2 linked regions of the Drosophila melanogaster genome follow. The protein of the gene in region 2 interacts with the protein of the main gene of each other region in a pairwise test. Each region holds a gene or a part of one and is shown on either strand. Other genes may lie near its edges. The genes, in order: Sam-S and CG17841.

Region 1 (4,919 bases), on a different chromosome or scaffold from region 2:
AATCCCAGATAAGCAAACACGCAGGTCTCAGCAATGAAAGCTAGTGTCCTCATCGTCTGCTGCATGGTAATTTGGGTAACCTACGATTAAAAAAGTTTTAATAATATATAAAATAGGGATATCATATGACTTACAGTGGATAGGTTGAAATGCGTGTAGTGGGACATGACGATTCCGCAAAATAGTATAGCCATAATACCTATAGTTGAAAAAAATGTTTAGCTTTTAGAGTCATAGTCAACAACATTGATATACCGCTTAAGTGTATTCCCTCTGCCAAGACGTAAGGTGCGTAAGTAAACATTAGCATCATCGCGAACTCGAGGGATGGATGCTTTCGTAAATCGATGTGCTTCAGAAGAAGAGCCGAAATTAGTGCAAATATGACTCCAATGCCCGCCGAAGCAAAGAACATCGCGCAAAAGGTCTTCAACGCGCTGAACATGGCTTCTCCAGTGCTGGCCTCAGCATTGACGTTAGCGGATTGGGTTATGGATGCAGTCAGCACAATAGATATGGCGTCGTTGAGGATGCTTTCGCCGAATACCAACATGTTGAGTATGGGGTCTACGTCAAGAGCATGGAAAATTGCCACTGTTGCCACAGGATCAACAGCAGAGATGAGAGAACCGAAGGCAAAGGATTCCGAAAAGCTTAGGCTAAAATTTAGGATAAATTATTGAATGAAATTGACAATTTATTTTAAACTTGCCGAAATGCCACCTCCCCCAGGCCCAGCAGGTAAATCCCCGCCCCGATGACTAGTGCAGAAATTGTTGTACCGAATATGGCAAAGACCAGTATGGATCCGATGTTCTGAAAGAAGTTTCCCTTGTGCAGATTGTAACCGGACTCGAATATAATGGGCGGCAGGAGCACCAGAAAGAAGCCCATGGGCGAGAAGACCTCTTCACGTTTCCAACTGCCATTCTGCCCAGACATAACGTTCAGCGAAAGGCCAATAAAGGCGCCCAGAAAGACTACCACAATGCTTTCTGGCAGGTACTGGAACCCGGTCTGGAGCATAGAGTGGATAAGCAGGATGCCCAACATGATAACGCAGATGACGAAAAACAGTGAGAGTGAGGAGTTGTGCTCCTGCTCGACAGCATGGGAATCGATTAGAGGCGGATCTGTGACCAATGTGGATGCGTTTCCCCTTTTCGTGGTGCTTGCATTACCAGATGCAGAAATCGAGGGCGTGACATTTCCAAGCGGACTGTTGACGAAGACATCCGAAACGGTGTGGATAGAGCTACTATTATCTGTAGTGGTGGTGTTGCTTGATGTTTTGCTTTGGGGCACCTCCTGTCCACTGATGCTTTCCGGACCCGCGTGCACCAACAGTAAGAGTGCAGCTGCACTATAAGCTACCCAAACCCTCATTTTTGCCGACAAAACGTGACGTGGTCGCTATTAACGCTCGCATTTAACTTTTCACTATTTGTTCAATTTGTTTTTTCACAAACATCTGTTTATCGCCCTATCTGACGTATATCGGGGAGAGTTGCCGTATCATTTTGGCTTATTGGCGCGTGCCTTTCATATATTCAAAAGAAAATTGTGCACTTAATTGCGTGCAGTATATTTTACCATATAATGAATTTATTTAAATAATTGGCTTTTGCCCAGTCATTGTAGCTGATAGCTCTTGTGAAGTGTCTTGAAAATTGAGCATTTTAAGTTTAAATATTTTTGTCTACGTATTGAGAACGTTTCTTACGGCAAAAAGAAAATTATATATGTATTAGAAAAGTGAAATAATAAAAAACCTTGTTATTGGCAAAGTGATAAATTGTTTAGTTAAGGCTATTACAATAACTGACGATAAATCAGTAAAATAAATGCATTGCCACAATCTACAGTTCGCAAGCACCCACCATTTGTGCTCAAGAATAATGTGCCCTGCGCATCTGTTCGTTCAGGCACACGCGATCTTCTTAGGCCCCGTGGGGTCACACCTTATTTGAAAGATAATGGGGCTTGTTGTTTTCGGTTATATTCAGTGGGTATTAGAATTTTAAAAAATGTACATGCAAAAACTGATTACCAGGCTCCTTGATCTTGGCAGACCTTGTTTGTCTTCTTGGCTGTGGCATGACGTAAGCACTTTTTCAAAAGCACAAATTGTTCGAATAGTATGAGAACCCTAATTGACGACTTTCCTTGACAAGATAGTGTCGAACGATCCATCTCCAAAAGGGCAGTCACTCCATGTTAGGGAAAAGCTAGGGTTTCAACAGATACAGACATTCGTTTAAAAATTCGCTTCGAATTGCGCTTCGTGTAGCGATTGTCTATATCATCGAATATGTATATGTCAATTGCTGTACATAAGAGAAGCCGAGAGAGCAATGCTAAACAGATTTTAAAAATTAGGTATATAGGTGGCTGCCGTGGTAGCACATAGTTTTGTTCTGATAAGCTCTTATTTCTTGCCGACTCATCTTCTCAAATGCTGTCTACAAAAATTTATAAATATTATTCGTCTGTAAAAATCATCCGCAGTTGAACGCAGGTTGAGCAGGAAGCTAGTCGAGACTATAATCCATATCTTGTCTGATCCTTTGTTCAAAACCACAGTGAGTATAAAATAAAGGATCTGGATCTAGATTCACTACAGTTCACTCCGGAGCGGGGTGGCAACGCTGGGCGGCGGAACAGCTGCTTAAAACCCAAAAACGTGGAGATACTGAAGAAGTAAAATCATTTGAGAGTACCGAGAACGCTAGGAAAGTTTCCCTAAAGAGCGCCCAAATAAGTCTCAAAATAATAATCGAGTCAGCCGAAGAGAACCGCCTCCTCCGTTTGCGACGATAAGCAAAAGCCCGCTCTCTCGTTGGAGGTATAAATTCTGAATGGCATTAAAAAGTTGCGCTCTTTTTCTTCAGAACCGTCGCTAAGATAGGACGTGTGTTGGCTGCGCCGCTGATTTGGTTGCCGTCGCTGAACCAGTATAACTCAGAATCAGTGTGTATAATTTGTTGAACTAATAGCTAGAACGTCGAACACGCATTTTAAACAGCTAGCAGCACCGAGCCCTCACCTAGCGACTAGTTTAGCTTTGAACCCGCTCAACGTGCGTCTCATGTATGTAGCGACGATTGTGGCAAACGCGCAGCATAAAAACATAAAAGAAGGGCGATTATATAAAAAAAACTATAACGAAAAGTGTGCGAATACCGGAAAATCCCAACAGCCTCGAGGCGGCCTATAGCTTAGATTCGCGAATGCGAAAATAGATGTGTTTTGCAAGAGTTCGGAAAATCAATTTCGTTAAGCGTTTTTTAACAACCGCTAATGTGGCCTCTCTTTCTCTCTGTTCCCCCAGCTCCACCAACAATTTAGCCGACCGGAACTCGGGTTATAGCACTGCTCCCCCATTGCCCCTTCAAACTTCGAGTTACATATTACAAACTACCCATCAACATGCCGCAAAAGACAAACGGACATAGCGCCAACGGATGCAACGGCAGCAATGGCAACTCATATGACATGGAAGACGGAGCTACATTCCTGTTCACTTCCGAGTCCGTTGGCGAGGGTCATCCAGGTGAGTGCTTCATTGCATCTGCGGCGCCTCCTATTGCATCATACCGATAGTGTCAGTGTAAAAAAAGAAACAATCTCAAATGCCCCTTCGGGCGTGGTGAGAGATGTTGCCTGTCAGTTCTCATAACCTGACCAAACTGATTCTCTAGCGTCTGAGGCCCTTCTGTCTGAAGTCCCTTTCCCTGTATACCCAGTTCCACACCTCCACCGTCTACTCACTTCTGCTTACCGCCTGAACTCTAACAAAATGGCGACGAAATTATGTCCATACCTTTGTTGATTTCTACCCAATTTGCACGACTTGAACAGAGGCTGAGAACGGGAAGAAGAGCTAGTAAAACGTGCCTCTGTTGCATCGCCCGGTGACCAAGCCGGAAAGCTGGGACCACGGAGAACAGCTGGCTTCTCTTGAAATCCCCGCACAACAGCGGGCTAAACCTTGTGCTTGGATGGGCAGACGCAATTAATAGACTGGTTCTTTATCGTTTGCGGCTCTCACATATGTATGTATGTGTGTACAGAGAGACTACGTCATGCGCACCATGTGCTTGTGGCTCATGGGAGATGCGAAATTCAAGTATTCTCTACGTTGTTCTACGTTGTCCACGCACTTGTTCATTTGATCGCAGATGGCGATCAAAACAACGGCCAACACAAACATACCTTACATTTTTCTAGACCGCTGTCAAAGCTTATTTTTTTCACCGAAATTGCCAACCACGTGTTTTGCTCGAGCTCGATCTTTTCGCCCCTCCCAGAGTTTGTTTATATCAGCAGTGGCGACCAGTATAGTAGTGTGTTTGACAACAGCTGTTGATAAGCCGAGCGACCTTTTATACTACGCATTGATTACTTTTACTATTCTATACTATTTTATTTTATAATGCTAATTAAGTCGGCTTGGCAAGCTAGCCCTAGACAATCTAGCCCTATACAATCGTGATGATAAGCGCCGAGTGCCATTCAGAAGAATACACCCCAAATGGTTGACATTAATATCGCCTGTCTTTTTGTAATAAATGAGTGACGGACTTGTTAGAATAGATAATTAGACTAGCCGGAAATTGGAAACCCTGAAACCCATTTCAGAGTAGCTACTTTAAACCCTTGACCTAACTAGTTTCCTCGCAATCATTATCCCAGCCGAAATCGATACCATGCGCCATTTCTATGAGTCAACAGTTTTGGTAATTTATGTTGCTATTGCTGACGCATGTTCGAGTTCAATAACGCCTTTACTACGAAAAGTAGCCGAATGTTGACGGACTCCAATTACGCGCCAAGTTTTGAGGCAAGCGCGAGCAACCCGACTGGTATCAGATGAATCCGACTCCCAGGATTTCATGGACGATTCGGCTTCAAATGTC
Region 2 (5,073 bases):
TCTACCTAATGAATGGTCCCAAAAGGTGTCACTGCGCCCCGCTACCGGCTGCGCATTTTACTATATAGTCGTCGGCTATATTATACCCACTATATATATACACATATGTATGTTACACATGCGAATCTATATGTATTCGCGTACAGGTGCTGTATAATATCTGGGTTGGGCCACGATAGGGCAATCGAATCGTATCGAATGTGATTTAGATATCGGTTACTGAGTCGCCATCAAAGCGCCACGAATGTCCACAATCCAAGCGAGCCAGCGGTAATGTAAATAAACAAATAGCCTCAACTATGTCCAATTAAGATTTATGACGAAAGTCAAGGGCTCGGGGAAATGGCGAGTAGTGGCGATGGAAAATTTTTTTTAAATAGTTCTACGTTGTTTGGTTGCTTGTTGTTGTTTGTTGTCATACCCAGTTTTTCCTCGCAATATTCTCGAGCTTTTCGAAAGCCTCCTTCTAAGCATCTAACGACAAGCCGCTTATCAATGCTAGATGCACTCACTCACCCAAATCGATTCGTTTCCCCGATAGCAGAAGCCAGAGCAGACAGACCCGGATAGATAGATAGATAGAGGACGGGCAGATAGGCGGGGCCAATCACTAGAGCCCCGGCTGATTGCCTTATCGCCCAGCGTGGAGGTGAAGTGCGTCTGTTGGACTTACAACGATCGTGGTGAATCAATTAGCCACCAGGAAATTGGGTCGTCTGGCAGGGTCTTTGATGATTAGATGCGTAACCCGGGTCATGCGGATACTAATAGATTCCATGCATACAATTTGAATAGCATAACTAAGGCAGTAAATTCTGTAGCTCAACTTAAATTGAGAAAGGGAAAAGTCTTTACAAATGGTAAAGAAGAGAACCCAAGATCTAGTATACACCTCATTGTGGAAGAAAGCATGTGATGAGCGCTTATCCAAGTCTACTGATAAAGCAGATTGAGCCAATTCCCGTCCAGAGATCGGGTTGTATAACACCTGTACAGCAATTGGGCACACATGGCGTTACCCATATAGACCGGCACTCTCTGTTTCATCATGACAAATGTGCATGTTTGTAATCGCAGTTGGCGGTGATGAGGGCAGGAGGGGAGTAGATACGAAATGAGAAGAGAGCGAAACTCAATTTAAGCGCGTTAAACAATTCTACACACAGTTTAATTAACACTTTGGACTGCGGGGGTAATAGTTAGGCAAGGGGCACTCCATAGTTGGGCAATTACTAATAAATGGCCGTTTTGTACGCTTGCATCAGATGAATTGAAAAGCTGTGAAATAATTTCACTCGCTCAAGCAAGGGAGAATAGATCACAAATGCCTTTTGCCAAATGGACAATTGAATTTCAGGATATATTTGTGCTTTGCGAAATTGGAGCATGTTTCACTGGCTAGTTAAATGCGTCGTCAAGTCGATGGATGCTTGTTCTCCACGCAATTATTCCGTTTCGAAACCCGACTCGCCTTGAGCCAAAACCCGTTCTATCCAACCGCCCACCGCCCACATCCCACGCCCGCCACGAGACCTTGACCCGCATGTCGCTGTGCTCGAGATGATGATATAAATCAGTGTCGGCTAAGGAACGCCATTGCCGAATGTCGGGGACACCAGCCAGCGTCCAGCCGAGCGCGCTCGATTCCATCTGTCTACACGTCGATGAGCAAGTGCCCTCCAAAATGCGTACTTAAAACTGGGCTAGGCACTCACTATTAACTCGCGCCCGCTAATAAATTGCCCAAGATAAGACTGAAGGTAGGGAGGGTAGCCACTTGGGTAGGTTTCCACTTCATAGTCTAACCTAATTAAGCTCCGCAGCGTAATGTCACTGGGTGAGTCATCGTCATGCTCGCCCAAAGACGTAAGGCGGGAATATGATTGATGGTGAGACTACCTGTTACTTGGGCCAACAATTACCTACGTAATCGATGACAGCATCTAGCTGTATCTTTAGCTATCTGAATTTCAACCCAAAAGTCTAACTAAGTCTGTGTGGAAATATGAGTAACATGAGAATTTAACTAAATCGCTCCAGTTGCACTCATGGTAATGATTTAGCCAACACAGAAGTGTCTATAATTATGAACTTATATAAGTATTAGAAACGCATAAATAGATTGCGTAGATCATGTGGTCGAGAAAAGGGCAACTATTGGCTGCCACAGAGTTATTTGGATGGAAAGCCCCCACCACCCGCCAATACCCCGTTCGGCTGCATAACGCAAGTGCAGTAAGTGCGTGTGTGGGTGGCAGTGCGGGAAAATCGATACTAATGTGCGTGCAAGACAGCCGCATCCGTGCATTGCGTGGGCGTCCACTCCTACTCACTTGTTGGTTATCTCCAGGACGTCGGACATCATCAGGCGGTACTTGCGACGAAAGCGCTGTCCATGCGTCGTCTCCAGCAGGTATTTGTTGCAGAAGTCCGTTAGCGAGACAAAATAGATGAATCCCAGCGAGGTGAGCACCAGGCCGCGCTGCAGCGAGATGCGGTCACTGCTGTTCGGTATCTGCCACAGGCTGCCGCAGGCCAGGCCCATCGAACCGATGGAGAAGGCCAGCGAGAAATAGCAGCCGCGTCCCGTTGCCTTGCCCGGCGTGCTGCCCGCCTCCTTGGCGCCAGCATCCTGACTCAATGGCTGCTGCTGTTGTTGCTGCTCCTCCGTACGGACGGCGGCGGTGGTTCCTCCTCCTCTGCCGTTGCCATTCGCCGGCTGTCGGCGCTGCTGCATCCTGGCGCGTATACGCACTCCACGCTCTGATCAAAGCTCGCACTAAAACCTTCTGTTGGCGAAGGCGACGCAACCTGTTGCGGAAACCGAGAAACGGATTCCGGACTCCTGACGCTGCTGCTACCGATGACTGCGGGCTGCGGACTTCACTCGGCGGTTGTTTACAGGCGGCACTGCGTCTGGGACATGGCGATTGGACGACTGGGCGATCGGGAGGAGCTGGAAGACTCGGCGGTGCGAGGGCTCATGGATTCGTGCGGATTCGTCGTCGCAACCAATCGGTGGCAATCGTTCTTCGATTGTGCGTGCCTATCGGCCGGTGTGGCCACACACCAAGCGCACTTTAAATACCAAACTTGATTTTGGGAGAGCACCCCTGATGAAATGCAAACTAATTCAAATTTGTAATATCAATTATCAAATTGAGCTCGGACTAATTTTGGGCATAGTAACGGCACTTATATATAGCTTAATATTTGCAAGACATAACTGCAGCGATAACGATAAGAATACCACTAGCCGTTGGTTTGTGTCACGGCTTTAGCCCATCACGGGGATTATATCTTGACATTTTGAAAAAGTCTTCGAAATTGTCTTTAATTATTTTGCAACATTTAAAAATACACAGCAGCATTCGAAGGGACTTACGGGATAAAACAAAACAAGTAACTAATATTTACTTATGGTCCGCACTGTACTCGAGCGTGCATTCATTCAATCAGCATATATGTATTAAATATGTTTTTTTTTTAATAAAGCACTTGTTTACTTCGTCGCAAAATCAAAAGACAGACTGCGGCCTAAATAAATACGTGCGTCGCTCCATTCATTGAACGTTATGTCTGTTTGCGAAATGTGTAGCAAATTTAGTAATTTTGCGTATATGAAACCAAAATGTCACGATCTCCCTGCTGGATTTTCCTTTTATATTTGGTCCTTATCATTTTCACTTTTACTTTCGCACAAAACTATTGCGATCCAGAACTGTGTCCCAGTGGAAGACACGTGGCCTGCCAAAACAGCGGTGTAAGTTGATGCACACGATGATAAATCTGCACAAATGAAGTTGAACTTCCATAGTTACGAAGGTTCAACTGTACCTGTTTCCAACGCTCTCACGTTCTATCCTGTCTAATCCTGTTCGTCGACTTTTTCTAGCGCTTTGTGAGCGGTTGCAGCGGCGAGTTTGTCCAAGTGGATGCCCACATCCCGCTGATTCTCCAGCTGCACAACGAACGCCGCAACCTGATCGCTGGCGGTGGAGTTAGTGGCTTCCCCAGTGCCGTCCAAATGGCCACAATGTCCTGGGACACGACACTGGCCCAACTGGCCGCCTACAATGCGCTGCAGTGCCGCATGGCGCACGACGAATGCCGCAACACGAACACGTATCGCTATGCCGGCCAGAATCTGAGCATTCTCTTCACCCGAAGTGTGGATGTGGCGGTCTTCCTGCGCCAACGGATCGCCGCCTGGTTCGATGAGAATCGGGATGCGACCAGTGGCGACATGGAGGACTATCAGATGCGCGGTGGACCGTAAGTACACCACCAAGCCGTAGCGAGTTTGGTAATCCCATTAACTCCTTTCCAGAGCAATTGGCCACTTCACCACCATGGTCAACGAGCGAAATAACCGAGTGGGTTGTGCGATTGCTCGATTTACGGACGCCAACAATGTGCAGGCCACCCTGCTGGCTTGCAACTACGCGGTCACCAATGTGGTGAATAACCCGGTTTACAGGGCGGGAACCGCTGCCTCGGAATGCACTACAGGACGAAACTCCAACTATCCGAATCTCTGCTCGCCCAACGAGGTGTACAACTATAATCAATGGTCGGGATAAGGGAATGTATGCTATTTAGCATAACATTTTCAAGCGTAAATGTGCTGAATTGTTTATTTTTATTTGTACTCGACTGCATTTCTGAATATATTTTACACGTATTTATCGAACATTTTTTAAAATTGGACACCCTATCGAATAGATCGAATTCTAAACGATAAGCGATATTTTATCGATTATTTCAGTTTATCTGGCCGCATCGTACCTATCGATTAAGCCTAGCATGGCGTACCATCTCTAGTTGCTCAGCATTCGTACTTTACTTTTCACTCGCAACGGCTGAAATAACGGTTGAACAATGGCGAAGAGTGTCGGTAGTGCGTGCGCGCAAATTGCGATCCTTTTGGCCATCACTTGCAGTGCATCGGAACTTGCGTCGGCCGTGTGTAAGTGAACTCGACAATGGGTGCTTCGCAGTTATTTGCTTATTTCTCCATCTCTTTTGTTTTACCCATCTCTGTCTTAATCCACCTTGTTGGTGTTGTGTGTG

Evidence for each region.
Region 1: the proteins of CG17841 (region 2) and Sam-S interact in a two-hybrid assay, tested with the Drosophila melanogaster proteins (one large-scale study listed by BioGRID).

The regions. Positions count from the first base shown.
Region 1 is NT_033779.5:105,257-110,175, forward strand, and holds the start of Sam-S (S-adenosylmethionine synthetase), read left to right. Parts: upstream 1-1,646; 5' UTR 1,647-1,744; intron 1,745-2,504; exon of another isoform or gene 2,505-2,508; 5' UTR 2,509-2,582; exon of another isoform or gene 2,583-3,090; intron 3,091-3,331; 5' UTR 3,332-3,429; coding exon 3,430-3,553; intron 3,554-4,337; exon of another isoform or gene 4,338-4,494; coding exon of another isoform or gene 4,495-4,537; intron 4,538-4,919. Other genes in the region: Nhe1 (Na[+]/H[+] hydrogen exchanger 1), read right to left, coding at 1-80, 135-199, 256-659, 713-1,386. UniProt on the Drosophila melanogaster protein: Catalyzes the formation of S-adenosylmethionine from methionine and ATP. The reaction comprises two steps that are both catalyzed by the same enzyme: formation of S-adenosylmethionine (AdoMet) and triphosphate, and subsequent hydrolysis of the triphosphate.
Region 2 is NC_004354.4:10,366,020-10,371,092, reverse strand, and holds the start of CG17841 (uncharacterized protein), read right to left. Parts: upstream 3,042-5,073; 5' UTR 2,738-3,041; coding exon 2,334-2,737; intron 1-2,333. Other genes in the region: CG32679 (uncharacterized protein), read left to right, coding at 3,632-3,763, 3,896-4,275, 4,331-4,583; l(1)G0289 (lethal (1) G0289), read left to right, coding at 4,882-4,969.